Anolis sagrei: one gene and its partner. The main gene of each other region encodes a partner of the protein of the gene in region 2 in a complex. Links are inferred from orthologs where the notes say so. Each region holds a gene or a part of one and is shown on either strand. Other genes may lie near its edges.

Region 1 (7,696 bases), on a different chromosome or scaffold from region 2:
GGCAGCACTCAGCCAGCCTTTGAAGGTGCAAGCTGGCCAACTGCAACATTCACACTTGCCTCAAGCAGACAAGAGTTCTTTCTCCCACCCTGGAGATTCCACAGATATATAAACCTCACTTGCCTAGTTTCCAACAAACCTCACAACCTCTGCGGATGCCTGTCATAGATGTGGGTAAAATGTCAGGAGAGAATACTTCTGGAACACGGCCATACAGTCTGGCAAACTCACAACAGCAGGAAGTGGGAGAACCTCCAGAAAGGGAAATCCACTCCTAGAACAGTTATCTACTGAAGCTTTATCACCAATCCTTGTTTCCACATTTTTTAAATAAATCCAATTATTACAGGAACAAAAAGTGAGGTGGAATCTTCTGACCTGGATGACAGACAGCAAAACAAATACCATATGTATGTGTGTGCATGCCAGAGGTACACTTATAAAAGTACCTGTTCCAACTTACAAACAAATCCAACTTAAGAACCCATCTTGTGCGTAACTTGGGGACTGCCTGTATAGGGTTGCCTTTCCTGGACAAAGGAACCATTGTATTTCATAGAATCATAAAGTTGGAAGAGACCTCGTGGGCCATAAAGTCCAACCCCCTGCCAAGAAGCAGGAAAATTGTATTCAAAGCACCCCTGACAGATGGTCATCCAGCTTCTCCTTTAAAAACTCCAAAGAAGGAGCCTTTGCCCTGTGTTCAAAGCAAATACTAATGTGGGTAAAAATTACATACAATATATCTCACAATCTGAGGATGCCTGCCATGGATGTGGGCAAAACGTCAGGAAAGAATACTTCTGGAACATGGCCATACAGCCCAGAAAATTCACAGCAACCCAGTACACACACATTTTTTCATGGGAGCATCCCTAATTGCTGAGTACAGAAAGGAGGCAAAACGGGGTTCGTGACCACGGTTAGAATTAGTGTAATCTTGAAAGAATTTAGAAGGCAATTAATATTTAATACAGGTTGCCTTTCCCAGTCAAAGGAGCATTTTTATGTTCAAAGCAAATACTAATGTGGATAAAATGTACACACACACTTATGCATGTGCAGAAGGCCTGGGAGCGTCCCTAACTGCCAAGTACAGAAAGCGGGCAAAAGAGATTCAAGTTGGAATCAGTGTAATTTTTAAAGAATTGAATTTAGAAGGCAAAGAATATTTAATACGAGGTTACCTTTCCCGTGCAGAGAAGCATATCTATGTTCAGAGCAAATACTAATGTGGGTAAAAAGTACACACATGGGGTTGTTGTGAGTTTTCCAGGCTGTATGGCCATGTTCCAGAAGCATTCTCTCCTGATATTTCACCTGCATATATGGCAGGCATCCTCAGAGGTTGTGAGGTCTGAGTACACACACACTTTTGCCTATGCAGAAGGCCTGGGAGCATCCCTAACTGTCAAGGACAGAAAGCGGGCAAAATGGGGTTCAAGACCGCAGTGGGTTGGAATCAGTGTAATCTTGAAATAATTGAGTTTAGAAGGCAAGGAATATTCAATACAGGATTGCCTTTCCCAGACAGAGGAGCATTTCTATATTCAAAGCAAATATTAATGTGTGGAAAAAGTGCACACACACTTTTGCCTATGCAGAAGGCCTGGGAGCATCCCTAACTGTACAGAAAGGGGGCAAAATGGGGTTCGTGACCGAGGTTGGAATCAGTGTAATCTTGACAAAATTTAGAAGGCAAGGAATATCTAATACGGGGTTGCCTTTCCCAGACAGAGGAGCATTTCTATGTTCAAAGCAAATAGTAATGTGGGTAAAAAGTGCACAAACACTTTTGCCTATGCAGAAGGCCTGGGAGCATCCCTAACTGTACAGAAAGGGGGCAAAATGGGGTTTAAGACAGCAGTGGGTTGGAATCAGTGTAATCTTGAAATAATTGAGTTTAGAAGGCAAGGAATATTCAATACAGGGTTGCCTCTCCCACACAGAGGAGCATTTCTATGTTCAAAGCAAATATTAATGTGGGTAAAAAGTGCACAAAATGGGGTTTGTGACCGAGGTTGGAATCAGTGTAATCTTGATAAAATTTAGAAGGCAAGGAATATTTAATACAGGGTTGCCTTTCCCAGAAAGAGGAACATTTCTATGTTTGGAGAAAATATTAATGTGGGTAAAAAGTACACACACACTTTTGCTTATGCAGAAGGCTTGGGAGCATCCCTAACTGTACAGAAAGGGGGCAAAATTGGGTTAGTGACTGAGGTTGGAATCAGTGTAATCTTGGCAAAATTTAGAAGGCAAGCAATATCTAATTCGGGGTTGCCTTTCCCAGACAGAGGAGAATTTCTATGTTCAAAGCAAATACTAATCTGGATTATTTTCAATATTAAACACACACACACACTTCAGTGTGTACAGAAGGCCTAGGAGTGCTGAGTATTGAAAGGGGGCCTTGAGGAGGGCAATTGGCGATTAGAGGCCATGTAGTCTGTAGGAATTGATGTCGTCTGTGGGAGAAATTGAATGGTTAAGACACAAAAAGGGGGGGGGGCTGAGGAAAGGGGGGGGCTGGAGACGAAGGAAGGGGGCTTAAGGGAACTATTCGGCCAGTCCTGCTAAACAGATGAATAGTGGAGAGGATTAACTAGAGACTGAGGGGCTTTAGGGTTGGTTTTCCTTGAAAGGACGCCCCCCAAGTGAAGGAGGATTTGGGGGGGGGGCATCATGAGGGGATTTTTACCTCGTGGGCAATAAAGCAGGATGAAGGGGAGGAGGGGTGAAGAGAGGGAGGGAGGGAGGGAGGGAGGAGGGGGCGGTCAGTCCTTCTGGCTGCGAGAGGCGGGGCTTTTGGGTTTCTAAAATAGGGGGATACTTTCATGAGGAAGGGGGGGTTATTACCTGTGGGGGAGGCAGAGAGGGAGAGAGAGGGAGGGAGGCGGGTGGGCGCTCTCCAGCTTCGTGTCAGTCCTTCAGGCGGCGAGGGCGGGGGAGGGGGCAGCTCCTCTCCGCGGCCGGTCACTGAGGCATGTGCGCCCACCCCCTCTTCCTCCCTCCCTCCCCCGCTCGACGACGGTGACTTCTTCTCCAGCTGCTGCTGCTTCTCCTTCCTCTCTCCCCCTTCTCCTCCTTCTTCTTCTCCTCTTCCACCGCCGCCTGAGGAAAAGTAAACCCGCCGCGCGGAGAGGCAGCGCGCTCCCGACTGGGCCAATTAAGCCAAGAGTTCGAGAGGCTGAGGAGAACGGCGAGGAGGGGGCGGCGGCGAGAGCGCGCCTGCGCGTGGCCCGTAGGGAAGCGAGGCCGCGTGCCGCCGCCAGGGAGGGAGGGAGGGAAGGAGGGGGGCGAGTTAAAAGGAGGAGGCTGAGTGAGGTGTGTGAGGAAAGGGAAAGGGGGCGGGGCCAGCGGAGGGAGGGGGCGGAGTCCGTATCTCGAGTTAGAAGGGAGGCGGGAGGGAGGGGGGAAAGGGGCGGGGCTAGCGCGGGGGCGGGGCCACGCTCGGAAGGACAGAGAAGGCGGGGCCGAGAGGGAAGAAAAGAGGACACTGGGTTGTTGTGGGTTTTTTCGGGCCATGTTCTAGAGGCATTCTCTCCTGACGTTTCGCCTGCATCTATGGCAAGCATCCTCAGAGGTAGTGAGGTCTGTTGGAACTAGGAAAATGGGTTTATATCTCTGTGGACAAAGAACTCTTGTTTGCTGGAGCTAGGTGTGAATGTTTCAACTGACCACCTTGATTAGCATTTGATGGCCGGACAGTGCCTGGAGCAGTCTTTTGTTGAGAGGTGATTAGATATCCCTGATTGTTTTCCCTCTGTTGTTTTGCTGTTGTAATTTTAGAGTTTTTTTAAAATACTGGTAGCCAGATTTTGTTCATTTTCATGGTTTCCTCCTTTCTGTTGAAATTGTCCACATGCTTGTGGATTTCAATGGCTTCTCTGTGTAGTCCGACATGGTGGTCTTTAGGAAGAGCTTGAAGACGTGGTTGTTCCAGTGTGCCTTCCCAGAGTAGGAAACTCCATGCATCATGTCCCAAATGCACTTTACTAGATTAATTGCATACCGCACCTATCTCCAAAAACCTATCCATTTCACTTGATCATGTCCAGCATATTTTAAATTTTTAATCATTACATTTGGCCCAGCCTTAGATTTTAACTGTGTTGTGGTGTTATTGTTTAATGTTTATTGCTATTGCTTAATGTTTATTGCTTTGCTCTATGAGTTTATTTATTGTTGTATTTGTTGTGCTACTGTTTTACTGTTGTATTTGGCCTCGGCCTCTTGTAAGCCGCACCGAGTCCTTCGGGAGATGTTAGCGGGGTATAAATAAAGGTTTATTATTATTATTAGAGTGGTCCAGCATTTCTGTGTTCTCAAATAATATGCTCTGTCCAGGTTGGTTCATTAGGTGCTCTGCTATGGCTGACTTCTCTGGTTGAAGTAGTCTGCAGTGCCTTTCATGTTCCTTGATTCGTGTTTGGGCAATGCTGCGTTTGGTGGTCCCTATGTAGAGTTGTCCACAGCTGCATGGTATACGGTAGACTCCTGCAGAAGTAAGAGGATCCCTCTTGTCCTTTGCTGAATGTAGCATTTGTTGGATTTTCTTGGTGGGTCTGTCGATAGTTTGTATGTTGTGTTTCCTCATCAGCTTCTCTTCCCTAAGAGGACACTGGCTCTCACTTGAGAGAGAGCTGCACTCAAGATGTGAGGGGTGTGGCGGCCCAAAGCCTGAGGAGGCTCTGACTGACTGACTGATAGACTGACAGACGCAAAAGGGGGCCTAATGGCAGGGAAGGTCGCCTGAGGTGGCCTTTTGACAGGGTCACCCCATATTAGGACAGGGGTCAGTTCCCTTCAGGTGAGGGGCCTTCTCTTCCACCTCAAAAGAGTATACTGTTTACTCAACTGCTTCGAAGTTCGAGGGGTCCAAACATCCTCTTTGTGGAGGAAGAATGGAGCCCGGAGAAAGATTGAGGGCAGAGCACGAGGGCCTTCAAAGTGCCAGCAGATTTGGGTTACCATTTTTGGAGTAAAATTATGTAAAGTGCACCTCAAGTGCCGCTAAGCCTGGCAAGGGCAAACTTGGGCCCTCCAGGTATTTTGGACTTTAACTCTCACAATTCCTAACAGCCTCAGGCCTTTTCCTTTTCACTCTCAGCCACTTAAGCTGACTTTTCCTTTCCTGAATAAAATGGGGATTTTTTTGGGGGGGGGGGGGTTAGACTGGGCCACTAAGAGTGTGCATAAGTATAAACAATGTTTCACACATTTGGACAATAATAACTTCCACTTTCCTTTTGAGTCCTGTCTGAGAAGTGGGGATTGTACCCAGCTGCATTATGTAGGCCTTGTCTTGGCTCTAGGCAGGCATATAGCTGGGGGGGGGGGGGGGTCATGGTGGTCCGCGAGAAGGCCTTACTGGTACATTATTTAAACTGTTATGTTATTCATATCATGATCTGATCACCATGCTCAATATATCCCATGTACATGGGGGTATTGGGGTAACGATACAAAAGGTTTGCTAGGGTAGACCCTTTCACTCAGACTCAGCCCTCCCCCCCCCACCCCGAATCAAACTCAGCTCTCCCCCCCCCCCCCCCCCCCCCCGCGAAACAAAATCCTGACTACGGGCCTGGCTCTAGGGTAAGCAAGCAAGCAAGCAAGCCCCAAACCTCCTTATACTGTAAAAGAGAGGGAAAGTGAGTGTGCTTGCTCTACTTCATCACCAACACAGTTTGATACAAGTATCTTAGACTCGCTCCTTATCTTTGAATGCCTCATAATGGAGTGGCAGATTAACAATTGGAGGAATTGGCAGCTATTTCTTGCAAATTTGATACACTGACCTCTTTTTGTCCTGATTGGAACAGCAACTGTTTTCTGTAGTTTGCTGTTTGAAGTGCAGAAAGTTATATTTCTTTGTGTCACAATGCATACCCCAGTCATCTAGCAAAATCCCATTTTTTATCAGGAAGCTAGTTGGTACCATATACTCTGATTCATTGGTGCTTAACTTGAGAAAGGGGGGTTGGAAGGAGAGGAGAAGCAGTATGAAATAAAAGATTAATTGGACAGAACAGAGACAGTATCTTCATATATACTTCTAATTTGCTCCGTCCTATCAATTGGTATGGATGTTTTATCTCCCGTCATGTGAAGATGTTCTCAGTAGTCTCCATTCTGATTAAACTGATAATATGATGGGAGTGGAGTGAAAAGGGAAGAAAAGATCATCATGGTTTAGACTGCATATGAAGAATTTTTGACTGGGAACAGGTAGAACTGGAAGTGAGACACTGGAGCTATTCTAAAAATGGTGTGCAAATGTGACAATCAAAAACAGATATGTTTTGCCTAGGGATTATCTGAAAATAAAGCATCATGTCTGAAACATCTGGGTTTTTACTTCCAAACTGCAATGAGCATGTGTTTTAGAAGCAAAGAACAAACATAAGCATCTGTCAGAATCTAGGGTTGAGATAAATATCTATTGAACAAAACCTGTGAGCATTAAATCTACGTTTAAAGAGTTGCATATTCTTTAAACTTCTCTCTGACCTTATGAAAGGTCACTGTGTCTTAAAGTCCACAGTAAGAGCAGATGATATATTTAGTTTCTTCCTTTAGGTTCTCCTAGAAAGCCTCAACTCTCACTTTTTGCCATTCTACTCAGATAAGGGTATAGCTCATTTTTTTGATTGGAGTTAAACTATAGTACTCGCATTAACCAGTGGATAAGTCGATCCATATTTTTGGGATGAATGTTGTTCTAAAATTTCTAGACTTATGCATAGGTATACACAGTATATCAGTAATTTTTTAAAAAGTATGTATAGCTTATTGAGGATCAAAAAAGATTTACTCAAAATTAGGAACAGGAAGCTTTCTATCTTATGTTATAAGATAAAATTCTAATAAAATTCTTCCATCATGACTCTCTTTCCTAAGTTGCATGGACTTCTAGATTAGGAAGAATGTTCAGCAGAATCCTGCACTATTTGACTCTGTAATTTCATCAGTATAATATTGTCAATAGTATTACAATGCCTTCAGGTCATTTCAAACTTACAGTGACACTAAGACAAACTTATAAAAAGGCAGAATTTGTTCAGAAGGGGTTTACCCTTGCCTTTCTCTGTAGTTGAAAGAGTGTACCCTGCTCGAAGTCACAGTGGTTTCCATGGCCAAATGGGGATTCAAACTCTGGTCTCCCAGTGTCCCGACACTCAAAGGACTGTAACATGCTGACTCTCATTATAACATACCTTCCAGTTTTTCCCATGTTAAAAACTTCTTCACAAACATCTGAATGTTGTCAAAAGGGTGTGGATATGTTATTACAACATAGCACTAATGGGGAGGAAGAACACAAAAACTACTACTTAAAGCAGAGAACCATCCCTTACCTGGAATTCCAAAATACCTCAATATCCAAAATTGTCTATGTGTGTGCCATACAGCAGTACCTTTAGTTTCTAATGGTTCAAAGTTGGTGTCATCCCTTTAGACTATGTGCATAGGTGTATATGCAATATAAGTGATTTTTTTTTTGTTTACGTTTGCGTCCCATCTCCAAATCTCCTGGTGGCGCAGTGGGTTAAACCCCAGTGCTGGCAGGACTGAAGACCGAGAGGTCACAGGTTCAAATCCGGGGAAAGGCAGATGAGCTCCCACTATCAGCTCCAGCTCCTCATGCGGGGACATGAGAGAAGCCTGCCACAAGCATGATAAAAACATC
Region 2 (8,188 bases):
GTCCTTCGGGAGATGCTAGCGGGGTACAAATAAAGTTTAATAATAATAATAATAATAATAATAATAATAATAACAATAATGGCTTAGTTACATCCCGCTTGGATGACTATAAAGCGATCTCTGTGGGTCTGTCTCTGAAGAGCATTTGGAAACTTCTGCTAGTCCAAAGAGCAGCAGCCAGATTGCTAACTGGGGCTGGCTGCAGAGAGTGGGGCACCCCCATTTTGTCGTTTTTGATGCTGGTCATTGACTGTAATACATACATACACACAGATACGTAGAGTTTCACCATGCCTCCTGGGTCATCAGTTGGAAACTCCTCCCCCAGCAACAATATAGTAATATATAATATTAATATTGTGCTGTGCTAATATTATATTACATACATATATAATATTGATATTATAATGTAATACAATATAATACTAATAATAATACAATATAATAATCTTTTATATTACATGTATTATTATTAATAATATTACAGTATAGCAGTAAAGTACAGTATATTAATATATAATACTAAAATTGTGCTGTGCTAATAATATAATACATAGTATACACATATAATATTGATAATATTATAGTGTAATACAATATAATACTAATAATAATACAATATAATAATTATATATTTTATATTACATGTAATATTCCTAATAATTTTACAGTATAGCAGTATAGTACAGTATAGTAATATATAATACTAATATTGTGCTGTGCCAATAATATAATATATTGTATACATATATAATACTGATAATATTATAATGTAATACAATATAATACTAATAATAATACTACAATATAATAATTATATTTTATATTACATGCGATATGACTAATAATATTACTGTAAAGTGGTATTAGTACAATATACTAATATATAATACTTTTATATTGTCGAAGGCTTTCATGGCCAGAAACACTGGGTTGTTGTAGGGTTTTTTGGCTATATGGCCATGTTTTAGAAGCATTATATCTCCTAACGTTTCGCCTGCATATAGATGCAGCTCCTCACAACTTCTGAGAATGCCTGCCATAGATGCAGGTGAAATGTCAGGAGAGAATGCTTCTGGAACATGGCCATATAGCTGGAAAAACCTACAACAACCCTATAATACTAATATTGTGCTATGCTAATAATATAACATTGAGTCTCCCAAATGACAAAATCATAATTTTTTGAGTGATGGTCAGTCCTTGTGTTGTGAGACGTTTTGTTGCCAAATTTGGTGTGATTTCGTTCATTGGTTCTTTTGTTTTTAAGGTTCTCATTACGCACAGAGCATGTATATACATATATGTGTGTGTGTGTGTGTGTGTGTTTGCCATTTTACTTTTTTGGAAGCCTCCCTGAGTCCCCTCAGGGAGACTAATTATGTGTGTGTGTGTGTATGTATGTATATACACACACACACACACACACACACACACATAATTAGTCTCCCTGAGGGGACTCGGGGAGACTTCCAAAAAAGGAAAATGGCAAACATTCAATGCCATACACACACACACACTCCCCCTCAGGGAAAGTGGATGGGTTAAAAAATAAAGTTGATTATGATTATATTCCAGTTTATATCAGATAATCTGGGATCAGATCCTGGGAGAAAGGGCAGTGTGGACTCAGGAAACCCAGTTCAAAGCTGACATGGTGGGTTCTCTGCCTTGATGTTCTATGGCTGTGTAGAAGGGCTCTGAGTCCCCGGCCCTTTCCACACAGCCATATCTCCCTGAATATCAAGGCAGAGTCCACAGTGCTCTCTGGATGTAAGTGAACTACAACTCCCAAACTCAAGGTCAATGCCCACCAAACCTTTCCAGTATTTTTTGTTACTCATGGGAGTTCTGCGCGGCAAGTTTGGTTCAATTCCAATGTTGGTGGAGTTCAGAATGCTCTTTGATTGTAGGTGAACTATAAATACCAGCAACTACAATTCCTGAATGACAAAATCATAATTTTTTGAGTGATGGTCACTCCTTGTGTTGTGAGACATTTGTTGCCAAATTTGGTGTGATTTCATTCATTGGTCCTTTTGTTTTTAAGGTACTCATTACGCACAGAGCATTTATATATATATATATATACACACACACATATATATGTTTGCCATTTTACTTTTTTGGAAGCCTCCTTGAGTCCCCTCGGGGAGACTAATTGTGTGTGTGTTTGTGTATGTATGTGTGTGTATATATATATATATATATATATACACACACACACACACACACACACATACACATACACACACATAATTAGTCTCCCCGAGAGAACTCAGGGAGGCTTCCAAAAAGGGAAAATGGCAAACATTCAATGCCAGTGGGTGGGTTAAAAAATTAAGTTTATTATGATGATTATATTCCAGTTTAAATCAGATACTCTGGGATCAGATCCTGGGATAAAGGGCAGTGTGGACTCAGGGAACCCAGTTCAACGCTGACATTGTGGGTTCTCTGTTTTGATGTTCTATGGCTGCGTAGATGGGCTCCGAGTCTCCGGGCCTTTCCACACAGCCATATCTCCCTGGATATCAAGGCAGATATCCAGCCCAATCCTCTCACACCAGAAACGACTTGCAGTTTCTCAACGACAAAAAAATGACATTTGTATGCCGCCCTTCCCTCCCCGAAGGGGACTTAGAGCAGCTTACAAGTTATATGTACATACAATATATCAATGCCTGCTTTGAATTGGACCAAATGAGTCCACACGGCTATATAATCCGGTTCAAAGCAGAGAATGTGGGGCTGTGTGGGAATTGTATGGAGGCCATTCCCCTGAAGGCCTCACCAAGCAGGAAACGCAGAGGGAGGAAGGAAGGGCTGCGGCCTAGTTCTCTGTCGAAGCCTGCCTGACTGTTTGCCTCCCTCGGCCGGCTTGCTCACCTCCGTCCGCGGCCTCCTTCTCCCTCCTCTCCTGCGTTCTCCGTCCGCCGGACCCGACGCGGCTGGCCTTCCTTCTCCCTGTCCGCCTGCTTCCTTTCCCCGGCTCCTCTCTCGCCCTCCGTCCTCTCAGGCCGCCATCTTAGGCTCCATTGTTACTAAGGAACTCGGGGACCGGAAGCGGGAGGGAGGAGGGGGACGAGAGGAGAGTGCGCATGCGCACGGCACAGGGAGAGGCCCAGCCCCGTTGGTTTGGGCTCCGTTGCGCACGCAGGAGGCGGAAGTGACGTCTCCCCCCCCCCCCCACTTCTCAGTAACCCATCCTCGTTCGCCACTGACTGGAATGCGTGCGCAGGTGGAGGAAGTGCGCATGCTCCGTTGCTGAACCTATAGAATGCGTGGCGGAAGTGCGCATGCTCCGTTGCTAAACCTATCCGGCTGGATTATAGTGAGAGAGTGGAGAAATGTGTCGGTCATAGAGTGTGGAGGACTGAGGAGAGAGAGCGGCTCAATGGGGGCGTCCATTTTGAACAGGAACTGAACCAAGAAGAATAGAATAGGTCAAGAAGGAAGAAAATAATAATAATAATAATAATATAGAGAAATAATAAATATTTATTGGATAATAATAATAATAATAATAAATAGATAAACATGTACAGGATAATAATAAAATAAAATAATAAAATAAATAATAATAAAATAAATCCAATAAAAATAATTAAATAAAAATAATAAAAATAATAAAATAATAATTAAAATAATTAATAATAATAATAATAATAATAATAATAATAAAATAGATAAATAAGAAATATTTATTGGATAATAATAATAATAAATAGATAAATATGTAGTAGATACTAAAGTCAAGAAGGAAGATAATAATAATAATAATAATAATAAAAAATAGAGAAACAATAAATATTTATTGAATAATAATAATAATAATAATAATAGATAAATATGTAGTGGATAATAATATAATAAAATAATAAAATAAATAATAATAAAATAATAATTAAAATAATTAATAATAATATTAAAATAGATAAATAATAAATATTTATTGGATAATAATAATAATAATAATAATAAATAGATAAATATGTAGTGGATAATAATAAAATAATAATAATAAATCCAATAAAAATAATTAAATAAAAATAATGAAATAATAATTAAAATAATTAATAATAATAATAATAAAATAGATAAATAAGAAATATTTATTGGATAATAATAATAATAAATAGATAAATATGTAGTAGATACTAAGGTCAAGAAGGAAGATAATAATAATAATAATAATAATAATAATATAGGTAAATAATAAATATTTATTGGATAATAATAATAAATAGATAAGTATGTGGTGGATAATAATAATATAGATAAATATTTAATGGATAATAATAAAAAATAAAATAAGTATTTATTGGATAATAATAAAATAGATGAATAATAAATAGTTATTGGATAATAATAATAAATAGATAAATATGTAGTGGATAATAATAAAATAGATGAATAATCCAATAAAAATAATTAAAATAATAAAAATAAAAATAAGAAAACAAATATAAACATTTAATAAAAATATTTATTGGATAATAATAAAACAGATGGATAATAAATATTTATTGGATAATAATAATAATACATAGATAAATATGTAGTGGATAATAATAAAATAGATGAATAATAAATATTTGTTTTATTATTATCCAATAAAAATAATAAAATAAATATAAATATTTAATAAAATAAATATTTATTGGATAATAATAAAATAGATGAATAATAAATATTTATGGGATAATAATAATAATAAATAGATAAATATGTGGTGGATAATAATAATATAGAAAAATATTTATGGGATAATAAAATAAATAAGAGATGTTTACTGGATTATATTAATAATAAATAGATCAATATTTATTGGATAATAATAATATAATTAAATATTTATTGTATGATAATAAAATAGATGAATAATAAATATTTATTTTATTATTATCCAATAAAAATAATAAAATAAATATACATATTTAATAAAAATAAATATTTAATGGATAATAATAATAAAATATATAAGATATGTTTACTGGATGATAATAATAATAAATAGATCAGTATTTATTGGATAATAATAAAAGAGGTCAAGAAGAAAGATTTATTAGATCATAATAATAATAATAATAAAGATAAATATTTATTGGATAATAGTAGTAATATAAATCAGTATTCATTGGATAATAATAATATAAATAAATATTTTTTGGATAATAATAAAATTTGTTGTTCATTCGTTCAGTCGTCTCCGACTCTTCGTGACCTCATAGACCAGCCCACGCCAGAGCTCCCTGTCAGCCGTCACCACCCCCAGCTCCAACCTGGACACAGCAGATTATTTGAGAACACAGAAATGCTGGACCACTCCCACAACCACCATGTCAGACTACACAGAGAAGCCATTGAAATTTTCTTGTTCTAGTCTTTAAGAGACCGGCACTGACTTGAATTAACTGTACTTTCTTAGCATAAGGAATAACCCTTTATAATCTCTCCCAGGCTGTCTATTATCTGGTCCTTGCTGGTTTGGGTCTTACTACCGATCCCAACTGCTTCTGGACATCGAGTAAACCTACCAGCCAAGGCTTGAAGATACTTCAGCTCGAATTCAGTGGTTCTGTAATGCTTTCTTGTGGGAACTTCAGGGCTGTTTTCCCCTCTGGTGCTGTGAGGATGAGAGGCTGTGAGCTCTCAGCCAGAGCCTTTGGGATCTTTTCCTTTTGTTCCTATTTCCCTGGATGGTCCCCGGATGGTTCTGAAGAATGAAGCTTTTCCTACGGGACGAACTGTCTGCGTCCTATAGACTAGCAACTACAACTCCCAAATGTCAAGATTCTATTTTCTCCAAGCTCCACCAGTTTTCACATTTGGTCATATTGAGTATTCGTGTAGAGTTTGGTCTGGATCCATTATTGTTTGAGTCCACAGTGATCTCTGCATGTAGGTGAACGACAACTCCAAAACCAAAGGACACTGCCCACCAAATCCTTCCAGTATTTTCTGTTGGTCATGGGAGAACTGTGTGCCAAGTTTGGTTCAATTCCATCGTTGGTGGGGTTCAGAATGCTCTTTGATTGTAGGTGAACTATAAATCCCAGCAACTGCAACTCCCAAATGACAAAATCATTTATTTTTTTTGAGTGAAGGACATACTTGAGTATAAGCCTAGTTTTTCAGCCCCTTTTTAAAGCTGAAAAATCTCCCCTCAGCTTATACTCTAGTAAATGTGATTTACTATTTTACTCTATTATTAGTATTGTTAGAGACCCAAAATTGAGTCTTTTTAGGTCCACGTCGTGGGAGCACGAAAGGAAGGAGACAGTCCCAATGAAAGATCAAAAAAACAAGGTTTTATTTTAGTTTCTTCATGAAGAAGACGGACAGCAGGGCAGCATGCACAGATGTTACCCTTCAAATGACTGCCGTGCTCTTCCCTTGAAATCTGCAAACTTTATAGCCCATTAGAAACAAAAAGCATAGGGAAAACACCTTTTGTGAATAATAATTCTGACCTTTTGATGGAAAGTACCTTCTTGTACATGCGGTCTCTGCGCTTCAAAAAACAACCTTTGAAGTTAACCACAAGCATCCTGTGTAAGAAGTACCTTCTACATGTCACATCTTGTTTCTTAAAAAACATTTTCTTCCATATTGCTCTTTTTAAGTCAGAGAAAGGGTATGTCTCTCTTTTGCTGTTAATTTCATTCAAAGCCCCTTACTTAGTATTTGCAAATTTCACTCAAAGACGCTTTCGGTATTATTTTTATTGCATTTATTATTTTATTCTATTTATTATTATTATGACATTTATTATTTTACTCTTTATTGTTATTATAACATTTATTATTTTACTCTATTTATTATTGTTGTTATTACAACATTTATTATTTTACTCTATTTATTATTGTTATTATAACATTTATTATTTTACTCTCTTATTACTGTTATTTTACATTTCCATTATTTTACTCTATTATTATTTTTATTACATTTATTATTTTACTCCCTTTATTATTATTGGAAGGATACGTAATTACATTTACATTGAAAAAGGTTAGAATAATAGTTTAATCAGAGTTGGACAGCTTTATCTTAAATTACAATTTTATGTAAATATTTTTGAATATTTACTCTACTGATGTCTCAATTAATGTAATTTTACTGGTATCTATTTCTATTTTGAAACTTACCAGTAATGGCTGCATTTCTTGCCTTCGCCTTATACTCGAGTCAATACGTTTTCCCAGTTTTTTGTGGTAAAATTAGGTGCCTCAGCTTATATTTGGGTCGGCTTATACTCGAGTATATACGGTATATATCTGTGGAATGATGTCTAGGATGGGAGAAAGAACTGTTGTCTGTTGGAGGTAGGCAGCAACCTAGCAACTACAACTCCCAAATGACAAAATCGATTTTTTTTGAGTGATGGACATACATTGGTTTGTTAGGTGTCTTGTGTCCAAATTTAGTGTCAATTCGTCCAGTGGTTTTTGAGTTCTGTTAATCTCACAAACAAACATCACATTTTTAATTTATATAGACTAGCCGTCCCCTGCCATACGTTGCTACGGCCCAATCTGTGTATATGTGTTTTTGTGTGTTTGTATTTGTGTTTATTTATTATTCAAACTTATATGCCGCCACTCCTCTAGGGCTCGGAGCGGCTTATAAAACAAACTGGAATCTAACACAAATTGAAACAATAGATCAAAGGTCAAAAGCCTGTTGAAGCAAATATGTCTTACAAGCCCTGCGGAAGGCTGATAAGTCCCGCAAGGCACGGACTTCTGGTGTTCCAGAGTGATGGTGCCACTACTGTAAAGGCTCTGCGTCTGGTTGCTGTTAGACGCAAGGTTTTAAAACTGGGAACTTCCAACAAATCTTGGTCCTCAGAACAGAGGGATCTCTGGGGTTGGTAGGGGGTGAGGCGGACCCTTAGGTACATCGGCCCCAGACCATATAAGGCTTAAGGAGCTCCATTGGCTGCCATTTATTTTCCGAGCCCAATTCAAGGTGCAGGTGCTCACCTACAAAGCCCTGAACGGTTTGGGACCACCCTACCTGCGAGACCGCATCACAGTCTACGAACCCACACGCTCACTTCGGTCATCAGGAGAGGCCCTGCTCGTGATCCCGCCCGCCTCGCAGGCGCGTTTGGTGGGGACGCGGGACAGGGCCTTCTCTGTGGTGGCCCCCCGCCTCTGGAATGCCCTCCCGAAAGATC

Evidence for each region. Proteins that work in one complex are often made in the same cells at the same time.
Region 1: the proteins of RLIM (region 2) and ubiquitin-conjugating enzyme E2 E2 are in contact, whole or in part, in a crystal structure (PDB 6W9A), measured with the Homo sapiens proteins. The link is inferred for Anolis sagrei from reciprocal best matches to the Homo sapiens genes RLIM and UBE2E2. Residues at the interface, in NP_057204.2 of Homo sapiens: Ser571, Val572, Cys573, Ile574, Thr575, Cys596, Arg599, Trp600, Pro608, Ile609, Arg611; in NP_001357154.1 of Homo sapiens: Lys52, Thr55, Lys58, Arg59, Lys62, Pro112, Asp113, Pro115, Phe116, Ile142, Asn146, Trp147, Ser148, Pro149, Ala150, Leu151, Thr152.

What each region holds. Positions count from the first base shown.
Region 1 is NC_090026.1:86,091,556-86,099,251, forward strand, and holds the start of ubiquitin-conjugating enzyme E2 E2, read right to left. Parts: upstream 3,306-7,696; 5' UTR 2,860-3,305; intron 1-2,859.
Region 2 is NC_090030.1:32,286,122-32,294,309, forward strand, and holds the start of RLIM (E3 ubiquitin-protein ligase RLIM), read right to left. Parts: upstream 3,088-8,188; 5' UTR 2,890-3,087; intron 1-2,889. UniProt on the Homo sapiens protein: E3 ubiquitin-protein ligase.